2 linked regions of the Drosophila melanogaster genome follow. The protein of the gene in region 2 interacts with the protein of the main gene of each other region in a pairwise test. Each region holds a gene or a part of one and is shown on either strand. Other genes may lie near its edges. The genes, in order: Rab4 and mop.

Region 1 (3,987 bases), on a different chromosome or scaffold from region 2:
GCCATTAAGGCCAGCGCCACCACTAAGTCTCCTTACTGCACGAGGGAAAGGTGGGTTTTGCAATACATTATTGTGAGCTTAGAGATTTACTAATGCAACCTTTTATCGTAGTCGATTCCGCTGCATTGTGCCGTATCCACCAAACAGTGACATTGAACTAGAGCTACATTTGGGCGACATTATCTACGTCCAGCGGAAGCAGAAGAACGGCTGGTATAAGGGCACCCATGCCCGTACCCACAAAACCGGGCTGTTCCCCGCCTCCTTTGTTGAACCGGATTGTTAGGAAAGTTATGGTTCAAACTAGAATTTATTAAGCGAAATTCCAAATTACTTGTCTAAAAGGATTCAATCGTCGGTCTATTCGGGCTTCCAAATACGCAATCTCATATTTCTCTTTTCAAAAAAGAAACCGTTTTGTACTCTTCCAATCGAATGGGCAGCTCGCCGTTGTACTTTTTTATACAATGCTTGATCAAAATAGGCTAGCCATGTAAGACTTAGGGAACAGTTACTTAAGCCTTAGCGATTAGTTAGCTAGAGAAATAATCTAACCGATCCTTGTGCCCTCTACAAAGTTATTTGTAATATACGATACTCAGTAATACCCTTTGGTCGTTTTAACTTATTTTATTCACCAAGCAAAACATCGAGGCTAACTGTGGATTCAACTACGGCAGGCAAGGTTACTCGCTTTTTTCGAACTTGGATCCGTAGATGGGCACGTACTGTAGGACCAGCTTCCAGTCGGTGTAGTAAAGCACGGCCAGGCCAGCAGCTCCTCCGAATCCGGCTCCAGATCGGATGCTACGAATTAAAAGAAACTAGTTTAGTTCTCTGGATGGGGTTATGCAATGTGTGCTTTGGTAGCAGTAAAAGAGCGGGAACACTAATGAATTCATGATGCAGAATCAAGCACGACAGCATATACTTACAAGGAACTCGCTATCTCAGCGTGCTTCTTGCCAAAAGGTATGCGGAAAGCCATTTTTGTTGATTTAATAACTTTTCACACGCACCAAAATGTTCGCAATGAACGCAATAGTTTCAAATGTCCTAAATAATACCACTACAGTGTGACCGTAGGATAGCGTAAAACTTTAAAAGCAAGGTGTGACAACACTGTGCGGCCTACGTGAGAACAACAACTAGTCATCAACAAAAACTAATATTCGCAAAGAACTCATCAAAAATTACGAAATTAAAATGAAAATATCCGTTTTTGGGGAGCTTAACACATTCGAGCTGTTTGTCCTGTCCACTGTGATACCGGCGGTGTTCGTTTTCCTTTGGACTCTGATATCTGGCGATATGAAGGTACGGCAGATAGTGCTTATCAGAATGGTTAATTTTAAGTAATTTTCCCTTTCTGCCCTGAGTTTACAGAACTTCAAGGGCAGCAAATTGGCATACTCAGTTTATACGGCCAAGGATCCCATTAATTGCTATCAAGACTACGAACCAGAGAAGCAAAAGGATACGTAGACTATGTGCCGGGTTGGATTACCAGGGCCCACCATCTTTTATACTTTTATTGCATATATGTATGTATGCAAATTGTGTGATGAATAGAAGAGGGTTTTTGAAAAAAGACAATAAACCTTTGTGGGCTGCATTTCATATTTTGTTTTTTCTTTGTAGCTTTCGGCAATTTTCATATATTTGGAAATATTTTAAAAGTAAACAAAAACTTAATTGCAATATGAATCATATTTTGAACCACCTGGTCACACCCACCCCTTGTTGGTATTTTCGCGTTTGTAGCGAACCTTCTCACTGAAGTGAGTCCAGTCAAAGATTTTAAGGTAATTTTTGGCTTTCTAATTGTTTAAACGCTTACTTATCGACGGATATTGCGGGTTTTGATCGTGTCCTGCGCACTTCCTGGTGCCCATACGCACCAGCAATCCGATAGTCCTGAAGTCTGGCCGAAAAACCAAAACAAACAAAGAAGACAACTACGCAGAAGACGAACAAAAACAATGTCGGAAACATACGGTTTGTCAGCACACATTTAATTAATTAATGCATTTTACTAATTAATATCGGTGCTCGGCGCTCACCTAGATTACCTGTTCAAGTTCCTGATAATTGGCAGTGCTGGCAGCGGTAAGAGTTGTCTGTTGCATCACTTCATCGAGAGCAAGTGTAAGTTTGGTGGTAGCCTGAAAATGGTACACGCCTAATGCATTTTATACATTTTGATGTACCATCAAAGTCAAAGACGACAGTTCGCACACCATCGGAGTGGAGTTCGGCTCGCGGATTGTGAACGTGGGCGGCAAGTCGGTAAAGCTACAGATATGGGACACAGCCGGTCAGGAGAGATTCCGATCGGTGACAAGATCGTACTATCGCGGAGCAGCCGGAGCTCTCCTGGTCTACGATGCCACTTCGCGGGACTCTTTCAATGCTTTGACAAACTGGCTGAATGATGCTCGCACTCTGGCCAGCCCAAATATTGTGATCCTTTTGGTGGGCAATAAAAAGGACTTGGAGGAGGCGCGTGATGTGACCTTTCTGGAAGCAAGCACCTTTGCCCAAGAGAACGGTCTGTTTTTTAGGATTCTCCATAAATTTCCTATCGTAATTCTACGTCTGTTTGTCGTTGCAGAGCTTATCTTCCTGGAGACGAGCGCCAAGACGGGGGAGAATGTTGAAGAGGCCTTTCTCAAGTGCTCAAAGACCATACTGGCCAAAATTGAGACCGGAGAGCTGGATCCCGAGCGCATCGGCAGCGGTATTCAGTACGGCGGAGCTGCTCTCCGTAACTTACAGACACGACAGCGCAGCATCAATAAGCCGGATTGCACCTGTCGCGTTTAAGTCGCATAAGTTGTGCTGATTTATTTCCATTTAATCTCAAACCGGAATGCGCATTCGGATTACCCCTTAGTTGTATTGTGTACTTGTGTGTGTCCACTTTTTTAGTATGTATTTTGTCTTGCTAGATTAATCATTCCAATTGTAAGCATAATGCTAATCGATTTGTTTTTTAACATAACCAATTACCACTTTGAAAACCTATGATTTCGGGTTAACCCCAAATGTTACTTACTATAATTTGTAATTCGTGAAGCACTAGAGCCCTCGAGCAACAAATGATGTATGGCTATAAGCACATGGATCTGATCTAGAGGATGAACAGAATACACTCGGCATTTTTAATGTAAATAAGTAGCGATACGCCGTTGACGACGTCGCCGATTGTAAATCCCATTGAAGCATGCACGCGGTAAATAAAAACGCCCATTGATAAATTCAATTGTATAAAAATATTTATTTCGACCCAAGGTAACAAATATTGTATTGGGGAAGCTATTAAATTTTATTAATAACAATGAAGCTAAAACATTTTAAATGGCAATAATTGATAAAAAAATAATTAAAAACCGTTTGTATTTGAGGAAATTGGCATAGCATCTTTAGATTGTGTTTCCAAATGGGCTGTTTTTGTTTTGATTTAAAAGGTCTTAACAATTTATGGTGATCAAAAATGATTTTTTGGTTTTAGACATTTATGTCTATTAAAGCGATGGAAAAGTATTTTTTAATTCTAAGATATACAGTTAAGTTCATTAGGTGCCCTTTGCTGTCCTCTTCCAAAGGATTACGTCTTGGCTAGAAAGCAAATTCAATGCAGTTTAGCAGAAACTAGACTGGGCTGGAATCATCATATTAGGCGTCGCATTTGCTTAGCTGCTGAAGGGCGTGCTTGGCAGCCGATAGCTTGGCCTGGTCCTTATTGCTCCCAAATCCGTACACCTTGATCGTCTTTTCCATGCAGGTAAATTGACAACTAACCATTACAGTTTCCCCTTCGACGATGGGCGAGCTAAACACGGGCTTCGCATGCTTGTGCTCAACGAGCTGTCGTATATGATTGATGGGCACTTTGCGCGTGAACTCCTGAAGCTCCGGCTCGAAGAGATTGAAAATTACCTCCCAAGTACGTTGGAGATCTCGGCAGTCCAGGTATACGGCTGC
Region 2 (8,156 bases):
CTTACGTTTGTTTAGCACATTGTGAGCATTGCAGAGCACAATTTGCATGGACTGCTCCAGGATGGCGGAATCCCTAAGCGAATTTTGACGCTGCGCACAAATGCGAGACCAAACATCAATCGTATCTAAATAGGGGCACGCGATTAGTGTTAATTTACAGTGATAAAATTTTACGCTTACTTAACAAAATTGGCTGCTTGTTTTGGGTCGCTATAATAGCACATACTCCAATGGCCACCAGTTCGGAACGCTCTGAACCAGTTAAGCAGTTCATAATGAGCGGCGATTGCGGAGCATTGGCTGCCTTGCAGCGTTGTCGATGGGTCTCCAAAGCATTTTCCGCCACACCCAGAAGTTGAGCTGGAGCCCTGTAAAATAGCAATTATTTATTTCTTTCCATCGGACGAAATCTGGACATGTTACCCCTTGGTCCACTGTTTCAGCTGCAGTAGAGATAAATCCAGCACTGCGTCCGCTCCATGCATGGACAATTTAAGTTGATACTCGGAGCAGTGGCTAAGTTGCTGCACTTTTAAGCAGGTCACGGTGTAATCATCATAATGAGTCGGCTGGTCCAAAGCTTGCGGCCAGTAGGGATCGAAAAGCTATAGAACATATCAAATATTTAGATTCAATAATCTCATAGTTTTGCTGAAGTTACTCACTTCATTTGGGGTGTGCAGGCAAACCACAGTGCGCGACTTCTCCGACCAGATCATGGACCAGAAATCGTTGATGGTATTTGGCTGGGGAGTCTGAGCGACAATAAAGTTGGGACAGCCGGCACTCAAGTTCTAAATGAATAACAACGGCGTTTAAAGATTGTGTGCTATAAAAACATTTTCTGGAATAACTCACCTTCATGTAGGCGGCATTGATGTAGTCATCGGTCTGCTTGTCCAGCTTTACTCTGGCATGATCGTATGGCAGACAATCAAGGGATCGATTTTTCTCCGGGAACAATTTCGCAATGGTGGTGGATCGCTTGTTGGCAGCGGCTTCTTTATCCAACTTTTGCTGCAGCTCTTGCCATTTGGCGCCCAGTTGTGTTTTTCCATTCAACATTTTCACGTGCAAATTCTCTAGTAATTTTTCATAGCTCTCCACCTCCTTTTGGAAATATTTTGTCGTTTTTTCGTCCGTAAAAGTTTCGGATTGGAATGCAAAACTGCTCGAATGGCCATTGGCTGTGGCAGATGCCTTGGTCTGTTTCTCACTGACGGAATGTGTAACGGATACCGAGTCCCAGTCAAAGTTCTCCAGGGAACTTAGGTCGGAACAGTTGGATAGGTTATCTAAACTGGCACACTTCGGACCCGAAGGAATGGTAACTGGAGTTTGAGCAGTTCCCTCGGTGGCTGCTACAGGAATTTCCGCTGTTGCGGGAGCAGCGTGCTCTGCCACACTTTCTACCTTAACAGGCACCGATACCTGACTTGCCGGCGGCGTAGGAGTGGCCACCACCTGGGGCTGCAAAACAGGCTGCGGCAACATTGGCGGCGGAACAGCAACGGAGCAGTCAATGTCCAGGTCGCTAAGCAGATCCACATTGCTGGTAACCTTGGGAGGCAATGCCTCCGGCTTTGGTTCTACTTTGGTCAAAGCCGCGGAGGAGGCGTAAGGAACTCCGCTGGAAGTCGTCTGGGTTTCAGCAGTGCTGCTCGCTCCACTTTGCATATAAATTGAAGCAGTTGAATTCGAAGGAGGCGCAGGAGTGGGTTGTTGCTGCGGATTTACACTGCCAAGGTATCCATAGGGAGTGGAGTAGTAGTTGGATGACTCATTGCCCTCTATCGCAGAAGTGGAGTCCTTAGCTGCCATATTAACCTTGGTGTGGGACACGATAGGTGACTGTTGGATAAAAATTTCGTTATTTTAGGTCTCAATACCTTTAATATATATGGGCATAGCACTTACATCGAATCCAGTGGCGGTATTGCTGCGACTGGCAATCTCTGAGTCCGTTGTTCCCACCGACTGCTGCTTGCCACTCTGGCTAAACTGGTAGCTTTGCGAGGCTTGGGATCCCTTCAACGAACTGGTATCCTGCTGATAGCCACTGCTGTACTCGTATTTACCTGTCTGCGGATTAAAGCTATAGCCAGGATGGTTGGAATAGCTGGTGTAGGTGGCCGAAGGATGCGGAGATGTGGGAACCTGAGCTTGAGATGAAGTGGGGGCTGGAGTCGGTACTGGAACAGGACTTGGTACAGAAGAAACCCCAGGAGCTGGAGCTGGAGCTGCATTGGGATCAGTGTACTGCTGTGGATATGGCAAAGGTTGCCCAGCATTCGGAGGTGTTGCCTGCTGGCCAGGAATAGGTTGTGGCGACGCCTGGACAGCCTGCGATGGATAAAGTGATGGCTGTTGCGGAGCAAGTGACTGCTGTTGTTGTTGTTGTGGATAACCAGATGGTTGCTGCTGATATGCCAGTGGTTGTTGAGGCGTCTGGGACTGGGAATACCCGGTGGTCTGCTGCTGCGATGTCTGCGATTGTGGATATCCTGTAGCCTGTTGCTGGGACTGAGCATACCCAGCTAGATGTTGTTGAGGTGTCTGTGGATATCCAGTCTGTTGCTGCTGTGCTTGTCCAGTCGATTGCTGATTTTGGGCATAGCTGGGCGCTTGGAGCTGCGGTGCTTGCGACTGTGAATATCCAGTTTGTTGCTGAGGCGTCAGCTGTTGGGCATAGCCTGATAATGGCTGCTGTTGATAAGCTCCCACCTGTTGCTGCGGTGTCTGAGATTGTGGATATCCACCAGCTTGCTGCTGTGGCCCCTGACTTGGCGCATAACCCAAGGGCTGTTGAGCTGATTGTCCTGTTGAAGAGCCCGATGGTGCTGTAGGATAAGTCACCTGTTGAGCTTGAGCATTGACCTGTTGGTAAGCCTGCCCTGAATAACCTGCCGCTGTTTGGTAGGGATTGGACATTGGATTGACCACGAAGGGTGCCTGCAGGGTGGACGGCAGCTCACTGGGATTTGAAACCGAAACTGGATTGCCCGATGTAGCCACATACAGAGGCTGCTGGATATTCAATCCCTGGGAAGCTGAGCTTGCGGGCACTGTTCCGGGTGGAGCGTAAGCTAGAGGAGGAACAGACCCACTTGGATACCCGTAATTATAAGCCATGCCTGCTTGGTTGTTATCCTGCGACTGGCCCTGCAAATTCATCTGACCGAGCGCTCCGTGGAGGGTCTGAGAGTTTGGCGATGCTTGGGCCTTGTAGGCCGGTGGAGCAATGTGCTGCTGTTGCTGCTGATACATGGGATTCGTGTAGCCGGCGGCACTGGGATCAAAATACTGCTGCTGTGTGAGACTATAGGGTGGAGGTGGCTCATTCGGTGGTGCAGTGGCATAGGAACAAGCGGCCTGCGTGGGATTCTCCGAGCCCACCGGCACTGGACGCACTGTAGGCACATAGGCGGGATTCGAGGCATCCGCCATCGCTGCCTTGGCCTTGAGGTAATCCCTTAATTTGGGGGTGCTGCTCACCGCTGGCACAGGCGTAGTTTCCGCTATTGGTTTGCTGACAACTGGAGTTGTTGCGGCCTTAACGCTCTGCATCCTTTGCTGGCGCTCTTCGGACTGTACATCCCTGGCGGATCGAAATCTGGTAAGTAGCTTCTGTACATTTCCGGCTAGTTTCTTGTAGAATTCCAAGCCCTTGGCGGATTTGGCCAGCAGATCCTCATAAACATCATAGGATGCAGCTAGCGAGCTGTAAAAGTGCTCCCGTTTCTGCTTCACGTCCTGGAGCGTTTTCAAAACTGGTGCCGCCTTGGCATAGTTTTCAGTTAGAGCTTGCAGAATATTACCTTGAGCCACCATATTCTGATCGAGAAGTTCGGTGATCTTGTCGTGCTTGCCCAGCTCGGTTGCAAATAAAGCTTGGAGGCCCTCCTGTCCACCGTGGGCAATTACTTTGCCAGTGATATCATCCTCATTGATGGCTATCCTCAAATCCGCATGAAACTGAGCACGTTGCGCCTTCATTTCGTTGACTTTGTTGAGGATGAGCTTCACATCCCTGAAAATTTCGGTGGTATTCAGTTCCGAACTTAGTTTGGGCATCAGTTGCTGAATCTCAGGCAATGGTCTGGCCAGGATCTTTAGATTATTTACGTGCAGGCTCATGGCTTTCCGCAAGGTATTATTGGATTCCCCTGCCCGTGCATGGGCTTCACTGTATTTCTGGAACTCTCGCGATAACTCGGTAATGTGGGCATTTGGTGTTCGTTGAACGCCGGTGGCGGATTGGAACTCTCGCTCCGCTTTGGCTTCTGCCTCCAGCATGCTTGAAATCTCGCCCAGGTTGGTCTCCACATCGGCTGTAATCTCAGCCAGCTGAGACATGGCCTCTACAAGATCGCTGATAGCAGTCTTGTTTGCATTTAAGGCGGCACAGCGATCCACGATGCCCTGGGGCAACTTATTGGCTTGCTCCTCGTTGATATTCAGATTATCCAGGGTGAGGGAGCTCATGTACGACTCCAGTTGGGTGTCCTTCTCCTCCAGCAGAGCTCCGTACTTACGCAAAAGTTTGGCTTTCTCTTCGCTGTACAACGAGCTGGCTTCGTGGGCCTTCATGGGCACTAATCTGGCAAAGATGTCTGGACCCGCGTGCTCCTCGTCGCTTACTTGAAAGCCAATCCCATTGACCAAATTGGCACCTTGGACGGCTGCAATGGTGGACAATTCGGGCACCGCCTCATGGTAAATGAACTCATTTTCGTTTTTGGCATTTTTGCGCTTTGCTTCCACCACATCAGCGGTGAAGCTGAGGGATTCATTGATTTCCCGCTGGTCAGGAAGGCCCTTGGACTCTTTGCGCGCCTCCTCCAGTTTGTCCCAGGAAGCCTGAAAGGAATATAAAGTAAGCATTTAAACCTTTCCTTTAAATAGAGCTCAAAATGTTATAGTTACCTGGTAGAGCGTCACCCTTTCGCCCATCTGACGCTTCTCCTCGGAATGTTGGCCCTGGTATAGGTACAATATGCAGGTGAGATAGTTGATCTTGAAGCGAACGTACTTCTTCCACAGTTTGTACACAGAACTATCGATGACTTGAGCCACTGGACCATCATCTCCTCCCGTAAGAAGAGCAGCCAGTGCAGCTCCATAGTAAACCACAATCTGCGCCGTCACTTTGGCCACAATATGCGGTTTCCTATTGTCGATTAGCGACTTCTCGAGTATGCATTCCTGAGCTTGGGCAAAGCACACCTGTTGCTGAAAGACCAGCAGCTCTGGGGTCATAAAATCCCCTCCGCCATTGACATTGGCATAGCGTTCTCTCAGCTCTCCATAGGCCCAAGCAGCCGCCTGGAAGTGAGTGCAGGCCATCTTCATTCCATCCACATCGCCACGGGTCACCGACGCTCCGGACTGAGTGTGCAATGCGGCAATGTTGAACAGCACCGCAGCCCGTTCGAATCGCAGATCAGTGACCTCGTGAACGGCACTGTGATAGAGATCCTTCCATTTAAAGGTGAAGATTCCGCGATCCGCCAGCTGTGGAAATCGATTCTGAAGGGCGTGTAGCTGGCAATAGTAGCGTTTCATCACCGGCGCTCCATCTTTCGTGGTGTGCATGGCCTGGTTGCGCAAAGTCTCCAGGGCATGGACCTCTTTGGAGTAAGCCTCTGGATCTTCATGATAAAATTCCGCGATGTACTGGAAGTAAAACGTGAAATGTTTTAAGTTGGATTTTTGTTATGGAGTTTAGTGTAGGAAAACAAGAATATATTTTAGGGTAAATGGGTTTTCATGGGGAATTAAGTGCAATAACCCAACAAACTGCCAGTGTTTGCTTATAACTTTTTATTTGTTTGCCAATTTAATCAGATGACGACGATGACTCAGCCGCCAGACAAAGGGGGCTTAAAAGTTGGTGAAAACGGAAAATGCAATGGAGCAAATGGCATGGTGAGAATGGGAATTTCGATTCCAATATGAATCCAATAAGCAACGCATTTTCCCAATTTGACCGATAATTCCGTTTCACCAAGTTGTCTCCTCTTTGTTTTGCTGGCTCTCTTAATTATTTCACTCCCCCTTTCGCACTCTCTTCCTTTTACCTTTTTCAAAGCCGCAAAGGAGGTTCCCTCGGGACTCGATTTTAGGGCGAACCAGAGCATATGCAAACGGGGCACCGCCTCCATGGTGATTAGTTTACTTGTTGCCTGCCCAGTTGGCCTTTTATTTTACACACAATTTAAACTAATTGCTGGCAATTAATTTACCAATATCAAAACAAGATTGTTTTATGAAAAATGTTGCAGTGTGGCCGTTTCAGCTTTCTGGAAATATGCACTAAAAATGGCAGGTGCGTAGGGGGTATTCCATTCATTGGCATCGATACTTTTTAGAACGGTATTCTTTTCCAGAAGTATTAAATTTTTATGCCGATTAAATTTTATAAAGAAAATGAAATTTAAAAAATTTGATATTACGAATGCGAATGTCTAACAATTTATATAAATTGTTATAGATGGATGAAAGAAGTGCACTGCATATATATCACTGTGAACGACAGTTTACATAGTGACGAAGCGCACCATATTTTTGTTTGTTTTTTTTTTTCCTTCCTTGAATTCCCCATTAATCACAATTAGTTATTTTATTAATAGTAAATGCGCAACCAGACATTCTGTAAATATTTGTTGTTTATTTTTTTTATTGTTTATACATTATCAACTTAGGCTAAACACAGATGGGGATTTGGATGTAATACAAGTCGTGTGAGGGTGACTAATAACAAGAATGCAATTATTAGCTAATTGCCGCTTACAAACTGACGATGATACAATGGCAGCATACGGCTAAGTTAAGTTAGGTACATACGTTGGTCGTACTAAGACTAATTTAGACTAATGGAAACGCTACTAGGCTTTTCGCTTTGCTACGAGCCGCTTTGGAGATGTTTCGATACAGTTCCTAAGAGGATTGCCCCCTCCCCATTACTAATTACCCCTCAATTTCTATATACATGTCGCTGCTGTGCGTGGAGGCCGTGGAGCTAAAAGTCTGATCAACCTCGGGATCACTTAGCACACTAGCATCCGACTCGGTCTCCAGGTCCAGGCGGGAGAATTGTGGCGCTGATGTTTTACTATCCTCCACATTTGGTGTATGCGCATCGATGAAGAAGTCTGTGGAGCATGAGAAAGTAAGACAGAGTTTAGTTTAACCATTCATAAGAGCGAACTATATAAAATGAAATTTTGTTATGGGAATATACGGGGGAGTGATTGCAAATTTAGATCATTTACCTGCGCCAACGATTTAAAATTTGGACTTAATGCTTGAGTGGGTGAAGGGTTATGGAGGTGCATTTATAGTCGTTTAGTTTGTAAGTGCTTTAAAAGGCTACGTCGTGTAGTTCAGGAGTCGTGGGCATTACTTGTACTGCAAAAAATGTTTGGTGTTGATTCAAATGATACGATTTCTCTACGTAATGATGTGATTTTTGAATTGAAAGTGCGGTCGTTTCACAAATACCAACCTGATTCGACGCCATTCCATTCGCTGACCACCGTATTGTGGCTGTGCTGGTGGGGATTGGGGTGATCTTCGACAGAGCCTTCGTAGATCTGCAGATCGGTGGCCAGCTTGTCGTGCTCCGTTATTTCGTCAAAGTCAAAGATCTCGGTTACTTTCACCTTGTTCGTGTTGCTGTCAGTATAGTAATAGGCATATAGAGCGTCGTTGTGCGTGGTCATCTTGAGGACATGCTCAAAGTTGTCGACATCGTCCTCTAGCGGTGTGGCTCCACTGAAAACCAAAAGAACGGCACGATTAGTTAAACGCTTCCTTGGAGGATTAATCCTACTGCTTAACTTACCATTCATCCACAAGGATTGAAACACGGGGTCCATATAAGCGGCTGGAATGAAGAAGTCCTGTGGCATCGAAGTGAGGCTGGTCATAGAGCTGCAATAAAAACACATTCGTTAGTATAATTCATTTCATATTCAAATTCATTGCCAGCCGTCAATTCTAAATAAAACAAATTTATGAAAATGTGAGCGACAGCCTTAATGCACTTCAATTGATTACTTAAGCAAATGATCACAAGACAGGTACCTAATTAACTTACCGTGAATTTATTTAGCAGTCGTATCCGCATGGCGTGGTTCAACTGCAAAATTAAG

Evidence for each region.
Region 1: the proteins of mop (region 2) and Rab4 interact in a two-hybrid assay, tested with the Drosophila melanogaster proteins (one study listed by BioGRID).

What each region holds. Positions count from the first base shown.
Region 1 is NT_033778.4:17,571,717-17,575,703, forward strand, and holds Rab4 (Rab4), read left to right. Parts: upstream 1-1,745; 5' UTR 1,746-1,982; coding exon 1,983-1,998; intron 1,999-2,067; coding exon 2,068-2,148; intron 2,149-2,218; coding exon 2,219-2,551; intron 2,552-2,614; coding exon 2,615-2,826; 3' UTR 2,827-3,263; downstream 3,264-3,987. Other genes in the region: POSH (plenty of SH3s), read left to right, coding at 1-50, 112-286; UQCR-6.4 (Ubiquinol-cytochrome c reductase 6.4 kDa subunit), read right to left, coding at 687-807, 936-988; CG42239 (uncharacterized protein), read left to right, coding at 1,207-1,317, 1,387-1,485; Dcr-2 (Dicer-2), read right to left, coding at 3,679-3,987.
Region 2 is NT_037436.4:14,769,832-14,777,987, forward strand, and holds the start of mop (myopic), read right to left. Parts: upstream 6,299-8,156; 5' UTR 6,165-6,298; coding exon 6,081-6,164; intron 5,677-6,080; coding exon 4,927-5,676; intron 4,861-4,926; coding exon 1,918-4,860; intron 1,852-1,917; coding exon 859-1,851; intron 795-858; coding exon 666-794; intron 606-665; coding exon 424-605; intron 369-423; coding exon 181-368; intron 126-180; coding exon 6-125; intron 1-5. Other genes in the region: bmm (brummer), read right to left, coding at 6,970-7,154, 7,508-7,776, 7,847-7,935, 8,102-8,156.